Mus musculus: one gene and its partners. The protein of the gene in region 1 interacts with the protein of each later gene in a pairwise test. Links are inferred from orthologs where the notes say so. Each region holds a gene or a part of one and is shown in the gene's direction. Other genes may lie near its edges. The genes, in order: Banp, Fhl5 and Fam117b.

What was found.
Region 2: the proteins of Banp (region 1) and Fhl5 interact in binary tests that used the Homo sapiens proteins (3 or more experiments, as listed by UniProt). The two-hybrid records come from large-scale screens. The link is inferred for Mus musculus from reciprocal best matches to the Homo sapiens genes BANP and FHL5.
Region 3: the proteins of Banp (region 1) and Fam117b interact in binary tests that used the Homo sapiens proteins (3 or more experiments, as listed by UniProt). The two-hybrid records come from large-scale screens. The link is inferred for Mus musculus from reciprocal best matches to the Homo sapiens genes BANP and FAM117B.

What each region holds. Positions count from the first base shown.
Region 1 is NC_000074.6:121,974,408-121,978,060, forward strand, and holds part of Banp (protein BANP), read left to right. Parts: intron 1-19; 5' UTR 20-88; coding exon 89-158; intron 159-1,492; coding exon 1,493-1,584; intron 1,585-3,616; exon of another isoform or gene 3,617-3,653. UniProt on the Homo sapiens protein: Controls V(D)J recombination during T-cell development by repressing T-cell receptor (TCR) beta enhancer function. Binds to scaffold/matrix attachment region beta (S/MARbeta), an ATC-rich DNA sequence located upstream of the TCR beta enhancer.
Region 2 is NC_000070.6:25,211,818-25,215,470, reverse strand, and holds part of Fhl5 (four and a half LIM domains protein 5), read left to right. Parts: intron 1-683; 5' UTR 684-695; coding exon 696-854; intron 855-1,695; coding exon 1,696-1,870; intron 1,871-3,653. UniProt on the Homo sapiens protein: May be involved in the regulation of spermatogenesis. Stimulates CREM transcriptional activity in a phosphorylation-independent manner.
Region 3 is NC_000067.6:59,947,424-59,951,076, forward strand, and holds part of Fam117b (protein FAM117B), read left to right. Parts: intron 1-1,629; coding exon 1,630-1,781; intron 1,782-3,653.

The sequences.
Region 1 (3,653 bases):
CTTGACATTTGTTTTGCAGGTGACAGAAACCGCATACCCTGTGACTTCTGGACTCTTGCTGTCAGTGTGCCCCTTCCTCGTGCTCTGGATGATGTCAGAGCAGGACCTGGCGGATGTGGTTCAGATTGCAGTGGAAGACCTGAGCCCTGATCACCCAGGTACAGCCGTGAGACAGTCGATGCACTGTTGCTCTCCCTGTCTTTTCAGTATCAAAGCCACTCTGCCGGACTTCATTCCCCAGTAAAGCAGACACAGCAGAGATGCCAGCCCTGTGTGAAAATTTAAATCATAGGATGATTGCAGGGCTGCCTGCATGTGTGCTTGTGTACACACACACACACACACACACACACACACATCCACACATACTTATTTAAAAGAGTTCTGGCCATTGCTCTAGATGGCTGCTGTGTGTTGCCAAAGGAGGAGGCAAGGCAGACACAGAGCTGTAGGTAGCAGTCTCGTCTTTTCTATTGTGAGTGAGCACACAGAGGCTGGAGAAATGCACAGGCATTCAGTGAGAAAAACTGAACTAGTGACATGAAACTATTCATGGCATAAAAGTCAGTACAAATGCTGAGCACAGAATTCTGGGAAGGTGGCTGTATCAGGCCAGAGCAGTGGCTCAGTGGTTAGGAGTACTTCTTCTCTTCCAGAGGACCTGGGCTTCTTCCCACATTGGACAGCTTCCAACCACCTATAACTCCTTCTGGCTTTTGAGGGCATCCCACACGAATTGCATACATTTACTCACACACACACACACACACACACACACACACACACACACACACACACATATATATATAAATAAAAGTAAGCTTTAGGGAAATGAGTGCTCCTGTGTGAGAACAGGACTAGTCCGTGCAGGTCGCTATAGAGGTGCAGTGTGGCAGGGATAAGGTGTAACTGCTCTTAGGCTTGGTGATCATCACTTTAATACGTTGGGATGGTACTGCAGAGGTTGGCGTTAGGGTTACCTTGCTTATCTGAAAGCAGGCCTTAAAGGTCAGCAGGAACTGTTTGTGGGCGGCTCGTGAGCAGTTCAGCTTCCGTGTAAGTCAGCGTGTTGGCTGTGCTAGATTGGGGCATATGACATGCAGAGAGGGTTGTGGCTGTCAGTATGTACGTGCTCTCAGCCCCATGCAGGGAGTGGGCCAGGACCTCAGGCCAGGCCAGGTGAGGGTGCTTTGGATTTTACAGTGACGTAGCCGCAGACACACTAAACACAGTGGGGAAGCAGTCACCGATGACGGCGCCTCAGTGTGCTTTGCCCACCAGGCTCTGGGGAGTATCGATCGGGTGGTCTGATTTTGGTGGGGATGGATGAGGGAGGGCCTGATTTCTGCCTGGCTGAGGATTTTAACAAAGAAATGGCTGTGCCATTTTCATCAGCCTCAAGGTACCGGCACTGTGTTCGGCTGTAGAGGCACAGAGCCCCAAGGAACTCAGCATGCTCACTCCAGCTTCTGTCTCTGTGGTTGCTTTTCAGTTGTTTTGGAGAATCATGTCGTGACAGATGATGATGAACCTGCCTTGAAGCGCCAGCGACTAGAGATCAATTGCCAGGACCCCTCTATAAAGGTACCGTGTGGCTCCTGTGGGCACTGTGTAACTTTCTACCATCAACCTGGGCTTAGAATAGCAGAACCAACCCTCTTGCAGCTCTGCAGTGGCAGGGCCACACCTTCTGGGATTCTAAGGAGGCTCTCCCTGCCTCCTCTGCTGTGACCTATTGGTCCCAGCCTTATTACTCGAGTCCATGCCTGAGGCCTACCCTCACTCAGGCCCAGATGGGTCATTTATTTAAATACATGTGCAAAGAGCTTTTTTCCAGATGAGGCCACAGGAAGGGCCTGGCCCTGTAGTATTGAGATGCCACTGAAATGCTGCAGAAAATACAGGCCAGGTCCTTCCGGCAAAAGACAGGAGGAAACACTGGATTTGGGAGAGGACAAGCGAAGAGTCTTCCTGTGCCTGAGTAAGCCTGCCTCAGGTGGGAGGAGAGCTGAGGTCACTTGGGCCCACCCCCAAGTCCTGAGGTCACTGGGGCCCACCCCCAAGGCTGGCTGGGGTTGGAGGCTCCTTAGGCAGTCGGTGCATTGCTTCCGGACTTGCTTATTTGGGATCCAGTGTCTGCAGAACACGAGGTGAATATTATTACAGGAGAGAAGTTTATAAGAGTGACTCAGATGACACCAGTCCTTGTCATAGGCTTCTCTGTGTCAACTGTGACTTCTTAAGACACTCAGCTCACTCTGGTGACAAGAAGGTAGTGCCAGCTGAAGCTGGGAATTCAGAATCTACTCAGGCCAGAAGGGGCACCACGCACCTTTAACCCTGGCACTTGAGAGGCAGAGGCAGGCAGATCTCTGAGTTTGTGGCCAGCCTGGTGTACATATTGAGTTCTGGAACAGCCAGGGCTACATAGAAAGAAGCTATCTCAAAAAATATTGAGTGAAATCCACCTTGACAGTATCAGATCTCAAAGTAACCCGTGACCTTAACTGTAGCATAGAGCACACAGAGAAACAGACCATGGAGGAAAGCAGCTGCCTGGGGTCTGCTGGAGACACTGCATGTGTGCTGTCGCATGCAGCCGAGTGCTGTCACGGGATTGGAAGACATTCACGTACCAAATTGCCAAAGTAATTCTCACCAGACAGGTCAGGGCTGTTTGTGGGCACCTGACCCGTGGAGCAGTGTCAGGAAGAATGCTGTCTCTCTTCTCCTCTATGGGTTTGCTTGAGATGTTAGTTAGTCTGTAACAGGGATTTTCCTCTCTCAGTTGGCCACCATGTAGTTGTCATGGTGTCTGCCTGCACTGCCGACGCTGCTCCGTTGATAGCCGAGTGGACACTGGGGATGAGCTGAGCGCTGCTGCTTGTTCCCTCGCAGGCACAGCCTTGCCCCTAGAGAGCATGGTTAGCGGGGAGCGTCAGGTCTTCTCCTTAACCTTCTTCTTACTAGTGTCTTTCTGTGAAAAGAGGCCTTTAAGCCAGGGTTCAGGGTGCTGGTTAATGACAGGAAATGGAGGAGTAAGGCCCGTAGCACTGAAGAAAAGGAATCTTCTCTAAGTGGTGCTGGCTCTGGCAGAGGATGTGCTGAGTTGGGGCAGATGTGAGGGCTTTGGGTATGCAGCACTTTCCCATGGCTGCTCCTGACTGCTGTGCATAGCAGAGAAATAGAGCAAGCTCAGGGTTCTTCAGGGCCGTGCCTGGCTACTCAGAATGCTCTGACCCATGCATTCGTGCTTTGCCACACCCGGTTGTTGTTGGTGTGGTATCTGCTTCTGTGGCTGTTATGATTGTGATTCTGCTCCGTGATTCCCTTTCAAGTTAGAGCAGAGATGGCTCCCATTAACTTGGACTGGGTGCAGAGGGACACGCTGTTCTGCCTGCCTGTGCTCTGAGGTCCAGCGCTGGCCTGACCCTTTGTTCTCATAGGCTAGCACCTTCTTCCTGAGGTGCCTGAGGCTGCATTTCTCTTCCAGCCGAATCCTCATTGTGTTTTCTTCAGCGGCTGCTGGCCATACACAGTTGAATGATTTCCTGGCACCCAGAATGTTGCCTGGGAGGCCTCTCTTCACAGTAGAGTTCCTGTGTGCGCCATGTACATGGTAGCTTGTGACAGGACTGGCCCTTGGGAGAGCA
Region 2 (3,653 bases), on another chromosome or scaffold:
AATATGCAAGACCCTTACTGAGAATTTAATACATTTAGAAATTAAAAAATGCAGTTAAAATAGAAATGCAGTAATTTTATGCAAGTTTGAATTAAAAAAAAGGAATTGTTATTTCTATGAAATCCCACTTTCAGAACTCATGATGATAGCTATGTAATGCCAGTTATAACCACGCTGTCCACAGGTCCCAGGATTGTGTTGATGTGGGGCATCTCCTGTCTACCACGTTCTCACTGATTCCTACATTGGCACATGGTGAATAAAAGATTTGTCTCACGATTTGGATGGTTTTTGTTTTAAGAAAAAGAAGGCCAGGTGGTGGTGGCACAGACTGGGTGGTGGTGGCACACATCTTTAATCCCAGCACGTGGGGGAAAAGCAGGTGGATCTCCATGAGTTCAAGGATAGCATGATCTGCAGCAAGAGAGAGCTTAAGGACAGCCAAGTCTATAAAGAGAAACCCTGTCTCAGACATAGGTAGAGGGGGAAAGAGATCATTCAAAAGAACTCCCAAGATGGGTAGCCTTTTCTAAATCACCATGACTACAAGCAGCTCCCTAAATTTGTGAAATTTTGCCTAGTAACGTATAAACTCAAATGCTTGACTCACATTTTATAAAGGATTTATTTTATTTGTAATGACACTATGTAATGTACAAAGTCTTTTTTTTTTTAATCCATAGGATAAAACTGAAATGACAAGTAGTCAATTTGATTGTCAATACTGCACTTCATCCCTGATTGGGAAGAAATATGTACTCAAGGATGATAATCTATACTGCATCTCCTGCTACGATCGTATCTTTTCTAACTATTGTGAGCAGTGTAAAGAACCAATTGAATCAGATTCTAAGGTAGGAGTCACTTCTGTTCACACAGTTACTGCTCATATATAGTAGGTCATTGCTTCAGGATGCTCCTTTTCTCTGTTGACTTTTACCCACGTTTTCTACAGTGTAAGGCTGTGAAACACAAGTTTTAACCTCATCCTATTCTTAAGACAACTTGTGTGTGTGGCAGGGTGTGGTGTGTGTGTGTGCTGGTGTGTGGTGTGTGTGTGTCTGTGTGTCTGAGTAGTAGTTTTAGGATGAGTAAAAACAAAAAAATGTAAGAAATTAAACTGTTTCCCCAGAATTTTACAACTAAAATGTTGTTACTTCTGGAATAGCTAAGGTATATAAAATACATTTAAAAATTTGGAAGTATAGGGAATAGAAATGCCTTCTTAAAAGTCTGCCTTGTTCCCTTAGCCCTGCAGGCTGCACCTTCTCACCTCACACTCTCTCCTCCTTTACGAATATTATTTGCTTTCTCTTCTTCCTTGCCTTTGCTTTAGCTAAGTGTTGTCATTTGTTTGAAGTCTCAATAGATAATAAGATACCACAACTAAAAAAATAAAATAAAATAAAATAAAATAAAATAAAATAAAATAATTCCATGTAAAACCTTTCTGGTAGGCTATAAAAGAAAGATAGATAAAATTGATAAAATCCAGCGAGATTATTTTTCAATGGCCACTCAAACAAGCCTGAGTTTTTTGCTCTAATTACTCCAGTCTCCTTTTTACAGATAACAGTTTCAGCAACTCTCCCTGAAACTAGTGGCACTAGGTTCCCAAGAATGTCCCATCTTGTCTTAGAAAACAGCTTGTTTTATTGCAAGCACATTTAATTAACTTCATTTCCTGTCTGAAAGGATCTTTGCTACAAAAACCGTCACTGGCATGAAGGATGCTTCAGGTGCAACAAATGCCATCACTCTTTGGTGGAAAAGCCTTTCGTTGCCAAGGATGATCGCCTGCTGTGCACAGACTGCTATTCCAACGAGTGTTCCTCCAAGTGCTTCCACTGCAAGAGAACCATCATGCCAGGTGAGATCCGGGTGGCTCTGCCTAAGGAAACTGCATCTCTAGTCACAATACTAGCATCACTGGCTCACAACACTGCTCTAAGAAAAGAAGTGCTGTTCTTGCTTTCTTCCTCTGATTTTCCATTCATCCATTCTTCCTGAACACATAAATGATGGTGCTCTGCAATTTTGTGATATTTTTGCAGTGACCAATGTCTTCTTTTTCATAAAACCTAATTCATAGAGACTTGTTGAGCCAGAGACAGAACTGAAGGATAAAGCTTATACCAGAAGAGCAACTGAAAACGCCCTGCCTTGGGCATAATCAGTGGTGTTAAAAGGATCAGTCTTCATAAGAATTTGGCCATAATCCTCACTCTGTCATTCATTCATTTATTCACTTATTTTATTTGTGTATTCTTTTCTTTTGGGAGTGTCAGAGGACTTCTTTTTTTATTATTAGATATTTACTTTATTTACATTTCAAATGCTGTCCCTTTTCCTGGTTTCCCCTCTGAAAGCCCCCATCCCCCTCCCCCTCCTCCTGCTCACTACCCAACCCACACCCACTTCCTATCCCTGACATTCTTCTACACTGGGGCATCAAGCCTTCACAGGACCAAGGGCCTCTCCTCTCATTGATGACTGACTAGACCTAGGCCATCCTCTGCTGCATATGTAGCTAGAGCCATGAGTCCTACCATGTATACTCTTTAGTTGGTGATTTAGTCCCTGGGAGCTCTGGGGGTACTGGTTAGTTCATATTGTTGTTCCTCCTATGGGGCTGCTAACCTGTTCAGCTCCTTGGGCCCTTTCTCTAGCTCCTTCATTGGGGACCCTGTAGGCTAGGAGGATCCACCTCTGTATTTGTCAGGCACTGGTGGAACCTCTGCGTTGACAGCTATAATAGGCTTCTGTCAGCAAGCACTTGTTGGCGTCCACAAAAGTGTCTGGGTTTAGTGATTGTATATGGGATGGATCCCCAGGAGGGGCAGTTTCTGGATGGTCATTCCTTCAGTCTCTGCTCCATACTTTGTCTATGTAACTAGAGGACAACTTTTGTGAGTGAGTTCTCTTTTTTCCCCATACAGGATCCAGGGATCAACCTTAAGTCAGCAGGCATAGCATCAAGTTCCTTTACCAGTTTGGCCTTTTCAGTGGACCAATAGGCATCATTTTATAGCTCTATACAAACTAGTTTGAGAGGAATTGCTTTCTTTCAGGGAAAATGGTCCCATGTAAATAACATCACTTAAAAGTTTAATTAAAATACAATATTATTTTCCTTCTTTATCTTCTCCCTCCTACCCCTCATAAGTTAGTCCCCCTCTCAGATTTCCAGCCTCTTCTTTAACCTTTGTTGCTACATAGACATGTAAGCAAATAAACATATAAACACAACCTAATGAGTCCTTTTAGTGGTTCCTGGAGGTGTTTATTCTAGTACTGACCATTTAGTATTAGGTATGGGGGACTTTTGGTATAGCATTGGAAATGTAAATGAGCTAAATACCTAATAAAAAATGGAAAAGAAAAAAAAAAGAAAACTAATCTGGGCTCATCGCTGGGAAATACTAATAGTTTTTCTCTCAGCATCCCTTACTCCTAGCTATTCACCTAGGTATGAGGCCTGATGAAATCCCCCCCACCCCATGTTAGAGCATTAACTGTTTTGGGAATCGTTCAGGTCTAGTTTAGGCATCCATGTTTAGATTTCATGGATGCAGCTCCCTTCTCATACCTAAAAGCAATGATTTGATGGCAAATTTCCTGTTTCTCTGGCTCTTAAAATCTTTCCTCCCTCT
Region 3 (3,653 bases), on another chromosome or scaffold:
GCTTGCTGACAGGAGCCTGTTATAGCTGTCTCCTGAGAGGCTCTGCCTGAGCCAGACAAATACAGAGATAGATACTCAGATGTTCGCAGCCAAGCAACCATTCGACTGAGCATGGGGTCACCAATGGAGGAGAAAAAACTGAAGGAGCTGAAGGGGCTTGCAACCCCATAAGAAGAATAACAATATCAACCAACCAGACACCCCCCCCCCCAGAGGTCCCAGGGACTAATACACCAACTAAAGAGTATATACATGGAGTGACCCATGGGTCCAGCCATCTATGTAGTGGAGGATGGCCTAATTGGGCATCAATGGGAGGGGAGGCCCTTGGTCCTTTGAAGGCTTGATGCTCCAGTGTAGGGGGAATGCTAGGGCGGAGAGTCGGGATTGGGTGGGTGGGGGAGCACCCTCATAGAAGCAGGGGGAGGGAGGTGATGGGGGGGCGGGGGGAACCAGGAAAGAAGATAACATTTGAAATGTAAATACATAAAATATCCAATTAAAAAAATAAAGACAGTGCTATCAAATTAGAGTGGATGTAAGCACATGAAAAAAAAAAAAACCATACCACTGTTAGGGTGTTGTTTGCCCAGACTCTTGCGCGCGCTCAACTGGCCAGGAAGAACGATGCTGCAACAGGATCCTTCTGCACACGTTTATTGGGAGAGCTTGATTGTAGAGGCGAAAAGACTCTGAGCCCAGAACTGGTGCTGCTTTTATAGGCCTAGGAGAGGCGTGTCTTACACCCGGATTGGTTATGCACTATGCCTCATTTGCATGTTCCTCATCTGATTGGCTACTCTCTCTCTCAGTACCTCACAGAGCCTCATTATCATACCTCATTTGCATGTCTCACATCTGATTGGTTACTCTCTCAGTACCTCACAGAGCCTCATTATCATACCTCATTTGCATGTCTCACATCTGATTGGTTATACTCTCAGTACCTTACAGAACCTCATTATCATGCCCGGGCCAGGCAGTGTCTTTGCAAAAAACTTTACTGCATATGTACACATTGGTTGTTTGTCCAAACTTATGCGTGGTGGCCAGCAGTAGTCAGTGCCACTCTGCAACGGCACATGTGGCTTCCCACACCAGACCTCTCTCAGTCAGGAACTGTATTTTCTAAGGGTCTTTATTAGTTGTCTTCTTAGAGTCAGACTTAAGAGTATGCATAGCTAGTTGCTAAGGCTGAAGCCTAAAGGTTCTGAACTAACAGTATTTGCTTTATTTATTTATTTATTTATTTATTTAGTTTTTTTGAGACAGGGTTTCTCTGTGTAGCCCTGGCTGTCCTGGCACTCACTCTGTAGACCAGGCTGGCCTCGAACTCAGAAATCCGCCTGCCTCTGCCTCCTAAGTGCTGGGATTAAAGGCGTGCGCCACCATGCCCGGCCAGTTTATTTTAAATATACTACATATGAAATGATAGTATTTAGCCCTTTGGAATCAACTGTGAGTTGTGTTATCAATACCTGTTCTTCTATTTTTGTGGTCAGTGTTTTAGATTGGGTCTGGGCTTTGTTTATTGCCTTGTTCTTACTTGTTTGTTTTTGCATATTTAAGTTGAAGAACTTCTATAAAGCTTAAAATTTTTTTACATGAACACTTTTGCTTTATACCTAGGTGACAAAACACACCCGCCTTCCTCAAGCTCCTCCAGCATTATCCGACGCACATCTTCCCTGGATACCCTCGCAGCTCCATACCTTGCTGGGCACTGGCCCCGAGACATTCGTGGGCAAGCCGCACCCTGCATGAGGGACAAGGCCACACAGGTAGGTTTCTCTTACTTGTTCTTCTCTGAAGCATTGAGTGCACACCAGAATTTCCTCCGAAGCTTTTGAGAAGTACAGGTTTCCAGGCCTACCTTCCAGATATTTGTCTGGATTTGTTTGGCCTGGGAGCATGAATTTCTAAAAGTTCTCAAAAGTAACTCCCATAGAAATATATAATTGCGAACATACTTCCCCTTATTTATTCCTTAGAAGTTAGATTACATTCTCACAATATTTTCATGTCTGGAATTTAGACTCAAAAATTTGTAGTAGAGGATTATTCTGCATACCATTTATTTTTGTGCCCCCAAAACCTTTATATTTTGGGAGAGCTATATTACATTGTTGATTTTGTGTGTGTGTGTGTGCTCACATATCTGCATGCTTATACTGTAGAGTGCTTGAGTGCATATAGAAATTAGAGCACAACTTTGTGAAGTCAATTCTCACTTTCCAACTTTACATGAATTCTAGGGATTAAACATAGGTCAGCAGTGCGCTATCATACACTACTAAGCCCATTTACTGGCTCCATTGCTAATAGATTCCATAAATGTAAACATCTCAACAAATGGTAGTCTGAAAGTGAAGTTTCATACTTTTACATCTATCAAATTGACTAATTAAGAGGATGCTAGAATGTTAACATATAATAATTTATAAATTTATAGTTAAAGAGTTGAAGTCCAGCTAGAGGTGGTGACATGTGCTTTTAATCTTAGCACTTGGGAGGCAGAGGCAGGGAGAGCTCTGAGGCCAGCCTGGTCTACAGAGTGAGCTCTAGGAAAGCCAGGGCTACACAGAGAAACCCTGTCTTGGGAAAACAAACAAACAAACATTGAAGTCCAATATTGTACAAGCAGTTCATGATTGCATGCTAGTTTGGAGTTTCTTTTTATAGTATTACCACATTGTAATTAATTAGACATTTGTACAATCATTTACCCATTGTTTTTCATACTTACTAGACAGTGAATCCCAGTAAGGTGAAGCTGTGTCTGGCTCACTGTTGCTGTTTTCTCAGGAACAGCAACCGTATACCTGAGTAGTAAGTGCTTGAGGAGATTTTGAGGAGCATTTGCAAAGCCGTGGATCAGCAGCACAGTATTGCACTCTTGGTAATGGAGAATGAAAGGCTGCAAAGACTTCTAGTACTGTTTGCAGTTAAGTTTTTGCATTGAAAAATTGTAATTACAAACTAAATTCGACATAGAGGACTTACTCCAAGAAATGTCATCTTATTGGTTAGGATAGAATAGACAGACAGGCCTGAAAACATAAAGCCTGGCCTGGGCACTTCAGGAGGGCCACCTGGTACCCCTGCAAGATGGCTGTGCCTGTGTTTAAAGTACCTCATTGGACCTGAAGATGCTGGAGCATCCAAACAGACCATGGCTTTTGTAAATAGGCAATGCTGAAGCCCATTGTGATAACCACATCCAAAAGGCTTTTCCATCTAGGGAGCCAGGCCTGGGTATGTTATAGGAAGATTCTGGTGTCCCCATGACTCTGGAAACGTTGTTGAACTGATGAATAAAATAAGAGTAAACCTCTGAAGAACTGGGTGATGGGAGTTGTGAGCCCAACCCTGTCTACAGTCTCCTGTGGGTTCTCTAATTTTAGTTTTTGGTTTTGGTTTTTGTTTTCTTTTTATCTTAATGGAAGCCATGTATTTTTTTTTAAACAATTTTTTTATTAGATATTTTCTTCATTTACAATTCAAATGCTATCCTGAAAGTCCCTTATACCCTCCCCTCGCCCTGCTCCCCAACCCACCCACTCCCGCTTCCTGGCCTGGCATTCCCCTGTATTGGGGGGTATATAATCTTTGCAAGACCCAGGGCCTCTCCTCCCAATGATGGGAAGCCATGT